Lonchura striata: one gene and its partner. The protein of the gene in region 1 interacts with the protein of each later gene in a pairwise test. Links are inferred from orthologs where the notes say so. Each region holds a gene or a part of one and is shown in the gene's direction. Other genes may lie near its edges.

Region 1 (7,467 bases):
CCACCCACTGGGGAGGGGAAACAGCCCTGCTGCAGCCTCCAGCTGAAAAACCAGGAGCTTCCCCAGAGCCAGCAGCTCCTTTTCAGGACATCTTCCAGGAAAACACTGCATGGGACAAGGGCCCCTTCTTCGGGGCAGCATCAACACTGTCAGAACAAAGAGGTAGGGCTGAGCTTGCCCCTTCTGGAAGGGTTTCCAAGGAATAACCCCCATCCCCCATTTGCTATGGCTGTACCACCCAGCACCCAGCTCATCCACAGGGTTTATTTGGGATTGGCAAAATCCTGCGGGTGGGTGAGGCTCCCCCTGCCCCAAGTGCTGGCACAGCGAGGCCACGCAGGGTGCTGGTGACAGGACCAGCCCAGGACGTGGCACCTGAGGGCTCTGCAGGACACAGCAGCAGGAAGGGGCTGCTCCTCTCCAGCTACTCTCAGAGCCTGAGGGGCAACCTGACAGCTGGGATAGGCAGAAGACACTGGGAGCCAGAGACCAAACATGCTTCACTGGGCTCCCAGCAGACAGAACTCACACGTGTGGCGTGGGCTGCCCTCAGCCCGGGTTCAGCAGAGCCTCTGAGCCCAAGGCTCCTTCTGCCAGCACCCACCTCTGCTCAGGCACGCTTTATTCACACAGGAAACCGGTTTTTTCCTCATAAAGTGCAAGAACTTTGCCTCTTACTGACTAGTCAACTAGAAGCATCACAGCCCTCACAGCGGGGAGCAGCAGGCAGGGAGCAACCCCCCCACGTTCAGGAGCTCCCAACACACCGGTCACTTCAGCAGGACCTCTGGCTCAGATATGGCCCTGTAGAGCACAAAGCCCATCTCATCAATTTCCTCTTCCAACAGCCTGGAGAACAGGTTGATTTTGGGGTTGAAATAGCAAGGCAGGACTCCTTTCTCCAGGGAAGCCACCAGCTCCTCAAGCAGCTGCTGGAACCTGTCAGCAAGGCTCTCCTCTGCCCAGTCCACAGCAGTGTCACTGAGGTGCAGGATGACATGGGCCATGGGGCTGCCCCCCAGTTTGTGCAGGCTGGGCTGGCTCTTGCAGATGCTGTTGAGGATGCGCAGGCAGAGCTGCCGAGCCCCGGCGTCACCAGCGTCCAGCTCCTTCACCCTCGAGACCTCCGCCCTGTAAAAACTCTCCAGCCAGAGGTTTTCCACCAGTCCTTCAGGAGGAACAGCCAGAAGAACCTTGTCCTCCATTTCCACCACTGGGAAGAGGGTGATGCTCAGATCAACCTGATCATGTTTGACTTCCAGCTTCAGCTCCCGGGAGGCCACCACAGGGTGGATGGCACAGCCCAGCAGGCCACCGATGGCAGGCCAGTTGATGGAGGCCACCAGCAGCTTGTGGAGGGTCTCGTTGATCACGCTGGACGAGAGGTACCGGCCCACCATGAACCTGTCCCAGGGGCTGCACCCACGAGGGAAGTAGCCCAGATCGATCCTCTTGATCATCCAGTACTGGGGGCTCCTCACCACGGTGTCCTCTCCCGAGATGAGGCTCCAGAGCCCGGCGTCGAGGACCACCGGGAGCATGAGGTGGATGTGGTCAGCTGCCAGGACCTCGAGGCCATCGAGCAGGGCTCCGCTGAGGAAGAGGCGGCCAAAGGGCAGCTCCGGGCACTTGCTCCTCAGGAAGTTCTGCAGCTGGGTGCAGATGCTCCTGGCCAGCTGTGGGACGAGGGACACTTGGATCTCGGGCACGGCCAGCTGGCTGCTGTGTGAGAGGAGCTTCTCCTGCAGCGTGAGACAGCGCAGGGGGCTGGGCTTGACCTGAGGAGCCCCCAGAGAGGCAGAGAAGCCCCTGGGATCTGTGGGAAGGGAAAGGAGAAGTCACAGCTCTGAGCACATCATCTGAAAGCCTCAGCAGCAGAGGGGAAGGCATGAGTTGGGTGCCCAGCTCTCAGCCCACCCCTCTGGAGGTGACACCGACCTCAGCAAGGGCCCCCATTGAGCTCACTGATGTTAACAGCACTTCTCAGCCATGCAGAGCCCAAACCAACCCCAAATCTGGCTGTTCCCAGCCTCACTCCTCAGCCAGAGATGGGAACCAGGCAAGGGACTTGCTGCCAGGGTCAGAGAACCACAGAATACACTGAGTTGGAAAGGACCCACGAAAATCATCCAGTCCAACTCCTGGCCCTGCACAGACACCCCAACAATCCCACCCTGTGCCTGAGAGCAGTGTCCAAATGCTCCTGCAGCTCTGGCAGCCTTGGGGGCACAACCATTCCCTGGGGAGCCTGGGCAGTGCCCAGCACCCTCTGGGGGAAGAATCTTTTTCCTAATATCCAACCTAAACCCTCCCTGACACAGCTGCTGCTGTTCCCTCATGTCCTGTCAGTGGTCACCAGAGAGATCAGTGCCTGCCCCTCGCATGAGGATCCTACAGACAATCCTGCTCTGGGTCCATTATCTCAGGACATGCCCTGGACTGAACTGGGCCAGTTTCCCACTTGGAAAAGCTCCATCTCCATGGGCAGCTGGACAAGGCAGCCTTTGTTTGCAGCAGCTCCTGAGCACACCTTCCTGCAGGCACAGCTGACCCAGAAAACTAGCACAGCCAACGCTGCTCCAGAGGAAACAAACCCCAACACCCTCTGCCAGGCCACTCCGGATGTCACCAGAGGTCCTGTTTCCGCTGGCATTGCCTAAAAAGGGGCCGTGGCTTGGGAGCCTCCCAGCAGGGCAGGCTCAGTGGGCTCGGCTTTCCGACAGCGAGCTAAAAATAACGTGGAGCTCCCGGAGCACACCAAGGTGATCCTCCTGGGCACCAGGAACCTCACCTGGCACCAGAGGCCGAGCTGGAGAGAGCAGAGGCTCACTGAGATCTTCCCTTCTCTGCTTCTTGGGGGGTTTTGGTGTTGTCTTGATCAATGCCAAGTCCTGCCAGCTCTCCTCCAGGGATTTCTGCTCAGCTTTGGGGTCGCCCTCATCCCGAGGGCTGGTGGCTCGGTCGATCAGCTGGAGGGAAGGAAAAGCCAAGAGGACAAGATGTTATCTTTGTTTTCCATGAATTACAGGTGAGGCGACAGCCCCACTCAAGGCTTCTGCTCAGAAAAACACCCAGTTTTGGGGGCCATGAGTGTGCACATCATCTTCCTGCAGGTTTTACATGGAAAACAGATTCCCAAATACAATTTAGGTCCCAGGTGCCTTTTGGGATGGGATACTGTATGCAAAATGCTCCAGGCAAACAGAACATGCATACATGGTCCCACAGGATGGAAGCAGGCAGCTCCATGTCCACGGCACTGCTTCCAGCACCCGTGGCATTTGTGCCACGTGCAAGGAACCAGCTCAGGAGAGAACATAAAGAATTTGGGACACATCTTGCCCCACCACACTGGAACCAACCCAGCCCTCCTGAGCATCTCCTGGTGCTCTATTCCCAGACCCAGCCTTACCCTCTTGACAGCCAGCGTGGCGATGGCCAGCACGGCCGCGCCGCTGACGCCCAGCACCAGCCTGGCGTTGGCCAGCAGCACATCGAACACGCTGCCCAGCCCGTCGAGGACAGCGCCCAGCCCGCCGCTCTCCTGCCGCCGGCCCCGCTGCTGCCAAAACGCCGCCATGGTCGCCCTGCGGAGAACAGGAGAGTCACCCCGGGCTGGGGGACCTGTCACCCCGGGACAGGCACAGCCGCAGGGTGGGATGGTTTGGGGAACAAAGGGTTCCGCCGGCCCGCTCTCCTCCGGGATAAAGGCTCCCGCCGGCGGCGGCGGGACGGCTGGGTGCGGCGAGGGAGCAAGGGTCACCGGGGGAAGGGACACCCCGGGGAGGGACACCCGGGGAAGGGACACCCCCGGGAAAAAAGGGACGGACACCCCAGGGAAGGGACACCGCAAGGAGGGAGGGACACCGCAGGGAAGAAGGGACACCGAAGGGAAGGGACACCCAGGGAAGGAAGGGACACCCCCGGGGAAGGAAAGGACGGACACCGAAGGGAAGGGACACCGCGGGGAAGGGAGGGACACCCCGGGGAAGGAAACATCCCGGGGAAGGAAGGGACACCCGCTCCTCACCCAGCCCTACCGCAAAGCCTCGCGGGGCACCGGGGCGATACCGCGGCCCGCGGGAAGGGAGCCCCCCCCCGACCCTACTGACGGAGGGGAGGCGGCACCAGAACCAGAACCAGCACCGGGACCGGCACCGGCACCAGAACCAGAACCGGGACCGGACCGGGCCGGGCCGGGCCCGGCGCTGCCCGCGCGCGCCCCCGCGCCGCGCTCCGCGCGCGCTCCCGCCGCGGCCCCGGCCAATGGGAGCGCGCGGCGGCGCGGCCCCGCCCACAGCGCGCGGAAGTGGCGCCAGGCGCCGCGCGCGTCACGGCCGGGGCGGGCGCGGGCGGGGCCTGGCGGGGCGCGGCACCGCGCGCCGCCCCCCGCGCTTCCGCCATGGCGGCCACCGGCGTCCTGCCCTTCGTCCGCGGCGTCGATCTCAGCGGCAACGACTTCAAGGTGCGGGGCGGCGGGAGCGGGGCACAGCCCGGCCCGCAGCGCCCCAGCGGGCCCGGGCCCCGCGGGGTTGTCAGGCCTGGCTCGGCCCCCGGGGCAGGGGAAGCCCGGCCCCGGCCCCGCCCGGGGTGGGTGACCTGGGGCAGTCCCGGTCCCGGCGCTGTGGGCGCTGCGGGGGCGATCCCTGACCCACATCGAACCGCTGGGGTTGAGCAACCCGGCCCTCAGCCCAGGGGGTCCCAGGGAGATCGGAGATCCCCGAGCCTCCAGCTCCCGGTCCCATAGGACCGGGCGATCCCAGCTCCCGGTCCCGTAGAACTGAGCGATCCCAGCTCCCGATCCCGTAGAACTGAGCGATCCCAGCTCCCGATCCCGTAGAACTGAGCGATCCCAGCTCCCGATCCCGTAGGACCGGGCGATCCCAGCTCCCGGTCCCGTAGAACTGGGCGATCTCAGCTCCCGGTCCCGTAGAACTGGGCGATCCCAGCTCCCGGTCCCGTAGAACTGGGCGATCTCAGCTCCCGATCCCATCGGACTGGGCGATCCGTCCCAGTCCCATAGGACTGGGCGATCCCAGCTCCCGATCCTGTAGGACTGGGTGATCCGTCCCAATCCCATAGGACTGGGCGATCCCAGCTCCCGCTCCCGTAGGACTGGGCGATCCCAGCTCCCGGTTCCGTAGAACTGGGCGATCCCAGCTCCCGCTCCCATAGGACCGGGCGATCCCAGCTCCCAGTCCCGTAGGACTGGGTTTCCATGGCCCCCAGCTCCCAGGCCCCTAGGACGGGGTGATCCCAGCCCTCTAATTCCCAATTTTATGGGACTGCTTCATCCCAACCCCACAGCTCCCAGTCCCTTAGGACTGGGTCATCGTGACCCCACACTTTCCAGCCCATAGGACTGCACGATCCCAGACCTCCCATGACCACAGAGCCTCAATCAGACTGAGGTCCCCAGATCCTCATCCCGTGGGACAGGTGTTTCCTCACCCTCTTCCTCCTCCTCCTCCTCGCAGGGCGGGTACTTCCCGGAGCATGTGAAGGCGATGACCAGCCTGCGCTGGCTGAAGCTGAACCGCACGGGGCTCTGTTACCTGCCCGAGGAGCTCGCTGCCCTCCAGAAGCTGGTGAGCCCCGTGTTCTGGGATGGAATGGGGCTCCCCTATCCCGCTGGGACCGTAGGATCCCACGGGAGCCTGTTCCCTGCCAGCCTCGTGGCTCAGCAGCGGGTGCTCCAGTGTCTAATAATAGCACTGAGCTGCAATGTGTGGTTGAAATGGGATGCAGGAGCTGTCAGGAGTGGGTTTGGAGTGGGCTTGCTCTCAGTTTCACCTTGTTTTCCTAGAAAACCAGATTAAAAACCACGCTTAGATCCTCTACCCTGTAGTAGAAGGGAAGGGTGATGGTTACAGTGGGGACAATCAAGGGTTTGGGGGCTTTTTTTCCTTCTTCTTTGCTAAAGTATGTAAAAAGCAGGAGCTGGCAGCTGTCTGGCTTTGTTTTTCGGGTGGTTCACCCAGGCCCTTGCTGGAGTCAAGGCTCAGCTTGGCTTTGGTGGTGTCCACAGCACATCAGGGACCTCATCCTGTCCGTGTCACACAAACTGAGTGCTTTAATCGCTGCCAGGGAATCCCTCAGTGCCACTCCTGCCAGCCCTGCCAGGTGCTCGGGGGCCACAGCAAGACTGAAATCCTGGCATCCCACCCACAGCCTGCCAATGCCGTGTGTTCCTGAGCAGGCAACAGCCGGGCTGGTGATGCTCAGAGGAAAACATTTCCCCAGGGGAATTCCTCCCACCCCAGCAGTGCCCACGTCTGCCCGTTCCCAAGGACTGGGATCTGTTTGTGTGGGCATCCCAGAGCACCCCAAACCCCACGGCAGGGCTGAGGTGTGCAGGGGATGAGGGATGTGGAGGCAGCGCAGGCACACTGGGCCAACCAACCAGTTTGAGACTGGGAGTGTCCCAGCAGCTCTGTGGGTGACAAGTCCCCAACTCTCCTGGGATGGAGGAGCCTCCACATCAATGTTGGGGCACAGCCTTTGCCCTGCACAGCCCCAGCTCCTCTCTCTGCTCACTGGGGCTTGTCTGGGACTTCCCTGCAGGAACACCTCTCCGTGAGCCACAACAGCCTCACCACGCTCCATGGAGAGCTCTCCGGCCTGCCCTGCCTCCGGGTGAGTGTCCCCCTCCTGCCTCAGGGGTCCCCAGGCACCTCTGGGATCTGAGGGCACACCAAGATCATACCTGGGCACCCTGGGGGCTCCGCAGGCAGCTGCATTCCTGCCTCTCTCCCCTCTGCAGGCAATTGTGGCTCGTGCAAACAGCCTGAAGAACTCGGGAGTCCCTGATGACATTTTCCAGCTGGATGACCTCTCGGTGCTGGTGGGTGCAGATTCTTCTCAGCTTATACAGGAGCCAGCTCAGACTCCTGGGTCCCTTTGCTGCACCGTGGTGGCTCCTTGTGTTCCTTGGGAGCAGCAGTCGCAAGCCCATGGCTGAGCTCCAGGGAAGCTGGCTGTCGGCAGGGTGACCCTCTGGCAATGTCTCCTTTAAAGGCTGATGCCATGGAAGGGCTCCCTGGGTTCCCTGTGTGCTGGTCCAGCTCCCTGGAGGTGTGGGTGGTGGTGGCTGGGTGACAACTGCTTTGTGCTCCCCCTTTCCCAGGACCTGAGCTACAACCAGCTCACAGAGTGTCCCAGGGAGCTGGAGAATGCCAAGAACATGCTGGTCCTTAACCTTGGCCACAACAGGTGGGTTCAGGCTAGAATAACCATCTCCCCATCCTGGCCATGGCCACATTTTGCTCTGGGTCCTGTTCTCTGCCCCTCCTCGAGGGAGATCCGGGGCTGGTGCAGATCCTAGGCACTCCTGAATTTCCCCACATCCCTGCAGCATCGACACCATCCCCAACCAGCTCTTCATCAACCTGACGGACCTGCTCTACCTGGACCTGAGCGACAACAAGCTGGAGAGTCTCCCACCACAGATGAGGCGCCTGGTGCACC
Region 2 (8,191 bases), on another chromosome or scaffold:
TCCTGCTGCTTATCCTAGGAGCTTTTTTCTCCACAGCTATTCAAGTTTGATTTATTTTTAATATGAAAAAGCAGGCTTGTGGCACCATTTTAGGTAAAGTCTTGCAATGATTGTGCAATGACCCTTTATTGAAGTGCTCTCAAATGCAGTGTTTTGGTGTTTCTGTTGTGATGGTGGCACGCAACCAACCCATAGGCAGTTTGTGATCCCAGCATTTCCTCCTTTTCCCATATTAACAATTGGTGAGATCATGAATTTAGCCTCTGGCATGGTATTGGCTGTCTGCTTGATTTCACTCTACTTGTTTCTCAAGTCCTTAACCTGTTGTATGACTTTACCCTTCTTTTTTGGTGACACTTCAACTCTGTGTCATTGGTTTATTTCATTAGTGCTGTCCTGCTTGTGCCAGGGTACACAAGAAAATACTAAATGAAATCACTTTTTCAAAGGTTAACCCCGAGGTTAACCTTTGAAAAATTCACTCCAAGGGAAGATTCTTCCTCAACCCTAAAAGTGATCCAATGCTGAGACCTCGAGCTCCCCAAAGTGGCATCTTTAGTGACCTGTGAAAAATTCACAAATGGAAAACTATCTCTCATGGCATGCTAAGGTGATTAAAGAGGCCAATAACTCATTAAGGGGTTTTGGCAAGATGAAGTCAACCAATAAGCTTTTTTCAGAAAAAACCCACATCATGCTGTTGGTAAAAGCAATCAAGGGCTGCTGCTGTTGTGGGATTTTTTTTTCTCCCATCCTCCTAAAGCTTGGCTTGGAAGCCCACAATATTCTCCCTGGCCAACCCAAGCCCATGGATCTCTTTTTTGGACCAGCTGGGAAGACACTAATCAGTTCTGGCTTTGCTGTGTGACTACAAACTCCAGGCTAGACATGACAAAGCTAAGCAAGGCTCCCAAAGGACCAGAGCTCTGCTGATGCAAATAATGACCCTGCTGACTTGAAGAGATGGAATAACAGTAAGGAATTTCATCCAGGCAAAGTACACATGGACACCACCAGTCCCCTCATCCCTGTCTTGACACTGCTCAGATGTGGCAACACACCTGAAAGATTTTCCCAGGAGGTCTGATTTGCTGGGGAGGATCACCTTGGTTGCACAAGTGTTTTTTTTTTTCATTTTCCTGCAGAATTTCTGTGCCAGCACATACTTGTCTGTGATGTAATTTTTTTCCATTAATAAATTCTGTAGAGCCTGCAGGATACCACTGCTGTTATGTTTGCAAAATATCGCAATGCTAATGGAGCCCTGCTCATCTCATGTATCCTGACAATCTCAAATTTTGGCCTCCTCAGTTGGATTTTCCAAGGTTTTTAAAGCATTCCACTCTCCTTGGACAAATGGACAACTTGTTAAAGCTGCCAGGCTTAATTTCTGATTTGGCAGATGTCATGACCTTACAGTGGAGTGGAGAGGTGCCCTTGTGCTTTCTTTTCACACACTCAGCCACTGGATTCCCCCATTCCAAGGCTTGCCTCTAATATAAATGTAATCACATTTTCCTTTCCAGGACACAAAAACATCCATTTCATTATGTAAAAGAGGTTCCTCAAGTACACCACCACCAGTTTGAACAGCTGATTGCTTGTTCTGATTCTCAACAGTGGGGTTTTACAAGAGGGTTTGGTTTAAGAGCAGCACAGAGGGAAAATTGTATCTTTTAGGGTGTGCTCTGCACAAAGCAGCCTCCTTGGACACAGGATACTGGAGAATGAGGGATGTATTATTCACTTAATAATAGAGCCCTTTAAAACTGGCATGGGATACTCAGTGTTGTCCGACTATCATTCATCACAGTCATGACTTCCAGACAAAACTAGCCTCGCCCTTGTGTTGCTTGTTAAAATAAGTGTTTTATTTTCAGTGTTTCATTTGCACTCACTGCTCTTCACAGTGCAGCCAAAACCAACGTGGTTTGCACCATTATTTCAAATTTATCTGGACAAATTATCTATGTATAGTATTTTTATAACAAGATGGCTTATTTTGTCTATATTTAAAAAAAAAACTTACTGTGTGTGTCTGGAATGCAGGGAAAGAGAAGGATTTCTTACACTGCAGAGTGCATTCAGTGAGTGATTTGAAATCTCACTGCAGTCACCCACCAGCGTGTTCTCTTCCAGTTTCTCTGCTTTAATCTTTTAATTCTTCCTTCCCTCCTCCATCTTTCTTTTCCCCTTGCCCTGTACTTCCTTTGTCTATTTCTTCCTTTCTACCCTGCTCTATTTCTTTCTTCTCCCCCTTTCCCATCTTTCCACTGGATTTCTTTTTTTCCTCTCTGTTTCTTTCCTCTCTCTTTCTCCCAGACATTTCTTTAATCCTTCCCTTGTATTTCTCTTCCCCTCTCCTCCCCCTTTGCCCCCCGAGATTTCTATTTCCCCTCTATTTTTCCTCCCCTTCCCTTTGTCACCTCAATAGCCAGTTTTTGGACAAAAAAACCTGCCTAGCCCAAGGCTCTGCAAGGCTTTCAGCCAGGCAGGCAGACAGCACTGATGCAAATCCTACTGCACCCCTGAACGGGGAAATTCCTTGCATGGATACCGTGATGCAGCTGCACAGGTGGCCAAAATCTCTGGGTAACAGGGACCTAAAAATAAGGCACTGCCCCGCCTCTCTAGCCAGAATTCCTCAAAGGGCAGGGGCAAATGCAAGGATAAGGGCTCAGGGAATGAGTTATGTAGAGCCTGAAAGGGTGGTAGTGCTAAGCCAGGGCTTGGGGAGGTGAAGAAGGGAAGCCTGAGGGATATCTAGGAAAACCAGACCCAGTGAGCTTTGCCTCCAGGGTGAGAGCTCAGTTGAAAGCCCTTGTGCTGCCTTGCGAAGCAAAAAGCAAGTCCTTTTTAATCCACTTGTGTGGGGTCAGAGTAAACCTGACACCAAATCTGAGGGTGTGATGCGTTCTGCTGCCCAAGCAAGGTGGGGGACTCATCCATCTGCTTCTGCTGACAAAATAATAATTTGATTCTTGCAAAGATAAATAGTCCCAGGTACAAGGAGCACCATCGATGCAGTATATTACCCAGTCAGTCTGAGGATGATTCAAATCTCAGGTGTTGTACATGAAAACTGACAAGAAATACTGAGTGGGCAAGTGTTGCTTATTATTTCAATCAAGTTTAAATCAATGGTAAAATTAAATCATAAAGATTAAATGCAGCTTTCTGGTCAGAAGGGAGTGGGTGGGATTTGTAGCCTCTTTCCCCGTCTATGTAATAATGTGAGCTTAGCCTCTTTAATTCATATTTAGGGAACTAGCGTGAAAATTGAGGTGCAAGGGCTGTGACAGGAATCCCAGAAAATACATGTACCTTGTCAATGTGAATTAATTAAGCACTGATGTACTTGAAACTAAAATTAATCACGTCCACTTACACTTAGTAGGAAAATTCATTGTTGGAGAGACCCCACAGGGCTATGAAGCTGTGTAAGGTGTCAGGCACAAGGAGTCTTTGTTTCTGTCCTGCTCCCCCTCTATTTGGGGGGGAGGAACCCCCCAGCTTTACAACTGGCAAGGTTTTGATGCCCATTTCCATGATTTCTGGTAAATTTACTGCATGCGGATCTGGGCTCCTCAGGACAAGAGAGGCAGAGCTCCTGGAGGGGGTCCAGCAGAGGCTGGAGGTGATGAAGGGATTGGAGCATCTCTGAGGAGGAAAGGCTGAGGGAGCTGGGGTTCCTCAAGAGGAGTCACAGCTGAGGGGACCTCTGTAATGTGTGTAAATATCCAAAGGGTGGATATTTCTATATCTGGATATTCCAGAGCATGGGCCAGGCTCTGCTCCACGAGGCCCAGCAGTGGGACACGAGGAACAGGCAGATGCTGATGCCCAGGAGTTCCACCTGAGCAGGAGGCAGAAATTCTTCCCTGGGCAGTGACCAAGCAGTGGACAGTGTCCAGGGAGGCCTTGGAGTCTCCCTCACTGGGGATATTCCAGAGCCATCCAGACACAATCCTGTGCCCTGTGCTCTGGGATGACCCGGCTGGAACAGGGAGGTTGGACCAGATGACCCTTTGTGGTCACATCCAACTTGACCCATTCTGGGATTCTGTCATTTCCCACAGCTTGGCAGGCAGCCCAAGGGCCCCAGTGGGAAGGGGGTTGGTCCACAGTGGGGCTGGGGGAGTAGGAAGGGAACCCCACACATCCCGATTTTGGGTGGTGAGGAGAGTGAGCAGGGACCATCCCACAAACACATTCACATTGATTTTGCATAGCGAGGACAGCGAGCAGGGTCCCTTAACCCCCCCCCCCCCCAATTCAGGCGGTCAGAGCAGAGACCCCCAAACACACTCCAATTTTGGGTGGTGATGGGAGTGAGGAGGAATCCCACAGACACCCCAATTTTGGGTGGTGATGGGAGTGAGGAGGAATCCCACAGACACCCCAATTTTGGGTGGTGATAGCAGCGAGCACGGGCCCACACACCATATCGGGCGCTGAGGGCAGCGGGCGGGGAGCCCCGAACACAGCCGGGCTCGGTGCGAGGTCCGCGGGCGGGGGGCCCGAACACAGCCGGGCTCGGTGCGAGGGCAGGGGGCAAAGAGCCCCGAACACAGCCCGGGCTCGGTGTCAGGGCAGCGGGCGGGGGGCCCGAGCACAGCCGGGCTCGGTGTCAGGGCAGCGGGCGGGGAGCCCGAACACAGCCGGGCTCGGTGCGAGGTCCGCGGGCGGGGGGCCCGAACACAGCCGGGCTCGGTGCGAGGGCAGGGGGCAAAGAGCCCCGAACACAGCCCGGGCTCGGTGTCAGGGCAGCGGGCGGGGGGCCCGAGCACAGCCGGGCTCGGTGCGGGGTCCGCGGGCGGGCACCCCCAGCCCGGGTTCGGGCTGGCGTGAGGCGGCCCGTCCCCTCAGGGCGGGGGGCGGCGGCGCATGCGCGGGGCGGGGGGCGGTAACGGCCGCGCCGCGGAGGCGGCGGAGGGAGCGGGAGGGTCGCTCGGGGCCGGCGGGCAGCGGGTCCGGGTTCGGCTGCGCTCCGGGCCAGGCCGGGACCGCCTCGCCATGGGGACGCCGGGCGCCGGACGCAAGCGGCTACCGAACCGGGAGCGCCTGACGGCGGAGGACGATGCGCTCAACCAGATCGCCCGCGAGGTGAGCGGCGGGAGGCGGCATCCCCCTTCTGCCTTCTCCATCCTCCTCCCCTCGCCTTCCCTCCCGGGCTCCCCCGAGCGCCGCGCAGGCGCCCCCGGCACCGCGGCGGCTCAAGGGCGAGCTGGCAGCCCCGCTTCACCCCGCCTGTGCCCCCATGCCCGGGCGAGCTGGAAACCCCGCTTCACCCCGCCTGTGCCCCCATGCCCGGGCGAGCTGGAAACCCCGCTTCACCCCGCCTGTGCCCCCATGCCCGGGCGAGCTGGCAGCCCCGCTTCACCCCGCCCGTGCCCCCATCCCCGGGCGAGCTGGCAGCCCCGCTTCACCCCGCCCGTGCCCCCATCCCCGGGCGAGCTGGCAGCCCTGCTTCACCCCGCCCGTGCCCCCATCCCCGGGCGAGCTGGCAGCCCCGCTTCACCCCGCCTGTACCCCCATGCCCGGGCGAGCTGGCAGCCCCGCTTCACCCCGCCCGTGCCCCCTGCCCGGGCTCCGCTCCGGCCGCCCGTGAGGGACGGGCGTGCGCTACCGGGGCCGCCCCGCTCCAGCCCCTCGGCTGGATGTCCATCGCCACTGCTGCTGAGAGCCGCTGCGACTGGTGTTAACCACTGAAAATAGGCCGCTCGGGTGTGGTATGGATAGGTATAAATCATAGAATCACAGCGTGGTTTGGGTTGGAAGGGATCCCAAAGAGCATCTCGTTCCAAGCTCCCTGCAGTGAAACACCTTCCACTGGAGCAGGTTGCTCCGAGCCACATCCAGGCTGGCCTGGAACGCTTCCGGGGATGAGAGTGAAAAATTAAAACCAGAATACTGCAAGGTGGTGCTGGGTGTGGGCATAAGTGACCCCTCTAACTTGGAAACGGATTTTTATATTGCTGCCCACCAGATGCTGCATTGTGCTCAATGTGACTTTAACCTTCTAAACCAGCTGATTGCTGATGCTTCCTGCCTCCTTATTCTTATGCACACTTAAATTGGTTCAGTGGTAACGAAGATAATGTGAATTCGGTTTTTTATGTTTACTAAATCTGACAAAGTCTCTTCTCCATCCTTGCTGTGGCCATCCTCCAATGGGGAAAGGGGGATAAGCAGCCCTGAGGTTCTTCTCCAGTAGGAAACCTACGAGAAAGATGGCAAGGAATATCCTGGAGTTTACAGGAGCACGTAGGACAGGACAAGGGGGAATGGATTCAGACTGAAAAAGACCAGGGTTAGATGGGATATTAGGGAGAAATTCTTCTTCCCTGTGAGGGTGGGGAGGCCCTGGCACAGGTTGCCCCGAGAAGCTGTGGCTGCCCCATCCCTGGCAGTGTCCAAGGTCAGGTTGGATGGAGCTCTGAGGAACCTGGTCTGGTGGAAGGTGTCCCTGCCCATGGCACAGGGTTGATCTGAGGTCCCTTCCAACCCAAACCATTTTGTGATTCAGTGTCTGAACTGCTCCAGTGCTGCTGCTGAAAGTGGCTGTCCTCTTCCCCTAGCATGGGTTATGTGTGTCAGCCCACCTGGTGCTGGTGTGACCTCAAGATGGGTTACAAGATAAATTACTCTTCTGGAAGAGTTTTAGGTCTCTCTTGGTTTCCTTTCCTGATCTAGGGCTGCGGCAGGATCAGATGAATGCTAATGTATGGCTTATTTTTTGGTGGCACTGGCTGGTAGGTTGAGGCTGTGACACTGTGCTCCTCATTACCACCGGTGCCTTTCCAGTTGTTGTGCACCATTTTCTGGTGGTTTGTAGCATCTTTGGAGTACATCCAGCAGAGTTTTGTGTGAGTGATTCAGACAGTGTGTTCTCTGAAGGCAGATTTTTGTGGCAGGGTGATGAGAAGGTTCCCAAGGGTGGAGTTTGAGGTAGGAGGACAAGAATGTCTCATGTCCTGGACATAAGATAGCAAGTAAGAGTGATTGTGCTGCCTGCTAGAGTCATGATACTATCCTAAGAATTGTTTGGGATGAGGGTTTGAATTCCACAAATGTGTCCGGACTGTGCTGTCATTTGATCAAGGAAGACATTAGTCTAACAAGGAACCCAGCTGCTCTTTTCTGTTGCACGTTTTTCTCCCACTTTCTATTTTCTTTATCTTAGATCTGCTTTTCACTGCATTGTGTAATGGTTTGAGGACTCAAATGTTGTGGTGGTTTGTGGCTTTTTTTTTTCCCCTTCCTTCTCCTGGGGTTTGTTTAAAGGACAACTCCATTTGCTCAAAAAGCCCAACACAAGCATGTCTTTTATCTTTTCCCTTGAGTGCTAAAACTGTGAACTGCCAAGTTCAAGGTTCAGCATTTTCCCATATTATTTTATCTATTTGCATTACTCTGTCTTGGAGCACTTTAATTGTTTTGTTGTTTAACTGCCTGCTCTCCACACAAAGGATCCCACATGAATCCTTCTGTATGATCCAGAATATGTCAACTAAGCCTTTTGTCTCTCCTTAGCAGGAATGTTGAGAGCCTCCATGTTAAGAAGGTGGGAGGGTTACTGATATTTTGGCTCTTCCAGCCTTCCTCACAGGTGTTTAGGCAAAGCTGGGACACAGACACATTGCTTTTGCACATAGATTTTTCACTCCTCTCTTGGCTTTGTTATCCAGAAGCCAGAGGTGATGGCAAGTTATTTGCAGATCCTAGAGTCTCATTTTCCCTGTGTCCATATGGGAGCCCAAGAGAGCATCCAAACTAGACTGATTCACAGAGGTACCTTTTATTTTGTGGTTGTCAGGATATTTTGGCAAACCCACAGTTCTCACTTTACTACGTGCTCCTATAGGAAGACAGCAAGACTTGCAAGGACTTTGTGAAGCTCCTGCCATTTGAACATAAATTTGTTTGGATTTGCAGCTGGGATGTCTTGCTCTGTGTCTTGCACAGCCCAGGAGAGAGACTGGTGTGGTGAAGAGGGCAGCAAGAGCAATCTGAGGGGAAGTAACGGAGCAAGAGGAAGGAAATTGTGAGAGTGAAGCATCTTGTAGTAACGAGGATTTAGTAGCAGCATTAGCCATGTTAATCAGGAGTAGTTTTAATATTTCAGGCAGTTTCTGAAGTAGTTGATCACCTTGTCTAGAGCTATTCAGAGCAGAGGTAGAAGATGCAG

The links. The genes of interacting proteins can lie anywhere in the genome.
Region 2: the proteins of FLII (region 1) and LRRFIP1 interact in binary tests that used the Homo sapiens proteins (3 or more experiments, as listed by UniProt). The link is inferred for Lonchura striata from reciprocal best matches to the Homo sapiens genes FLII and LRRFIP1.

What each region holds. Positions count from the first base shown.
Region 1 is NC_134618.1:15,741,758-15,749,224, reverse strand, and holds the start of FLII (protein flightless-1 homolog), read left to right. Parts: upstream 1-4,358; 5' UTR 4,359-4,402; coding exon 4,403-4,465; intron 4,466-5,477; coding exon 5,478-5,588; intron 5,589-6,564; coding exon 6,565-6,636; intron 6,637-6,763; coding exon 6,764-6,844; intron 6,845-7,126; coding exon 7,127-7,212; intron 7,213-7,354; coding exon 7,355-7,467. Other genes in the region: MIEF2 (mitochondrial dynamics protein MID49), read right to left, coding at 771-1,816, 2,792-2,969, 3,413-3,580. UniProt on the Homo sapiens protein: Is a regulator of actin polymerization, required for proper myofibril organization and regulation of the length of sarcomeric thin filaments. It also plays a role in the assembly of cardiomyocyte cell adhesion complexes.
Region 2 is NC_134610.1:38,486,323-38,494,513, forward strand, and holds the start of LRRFIP1 (leucine-rich repeat flightless-interacting protein 1), read left to right. Parts: upstream 1-4,922; 5' UTR 4,923-5,016; coding exon 5,017-5,106; intron 5,107-8,191.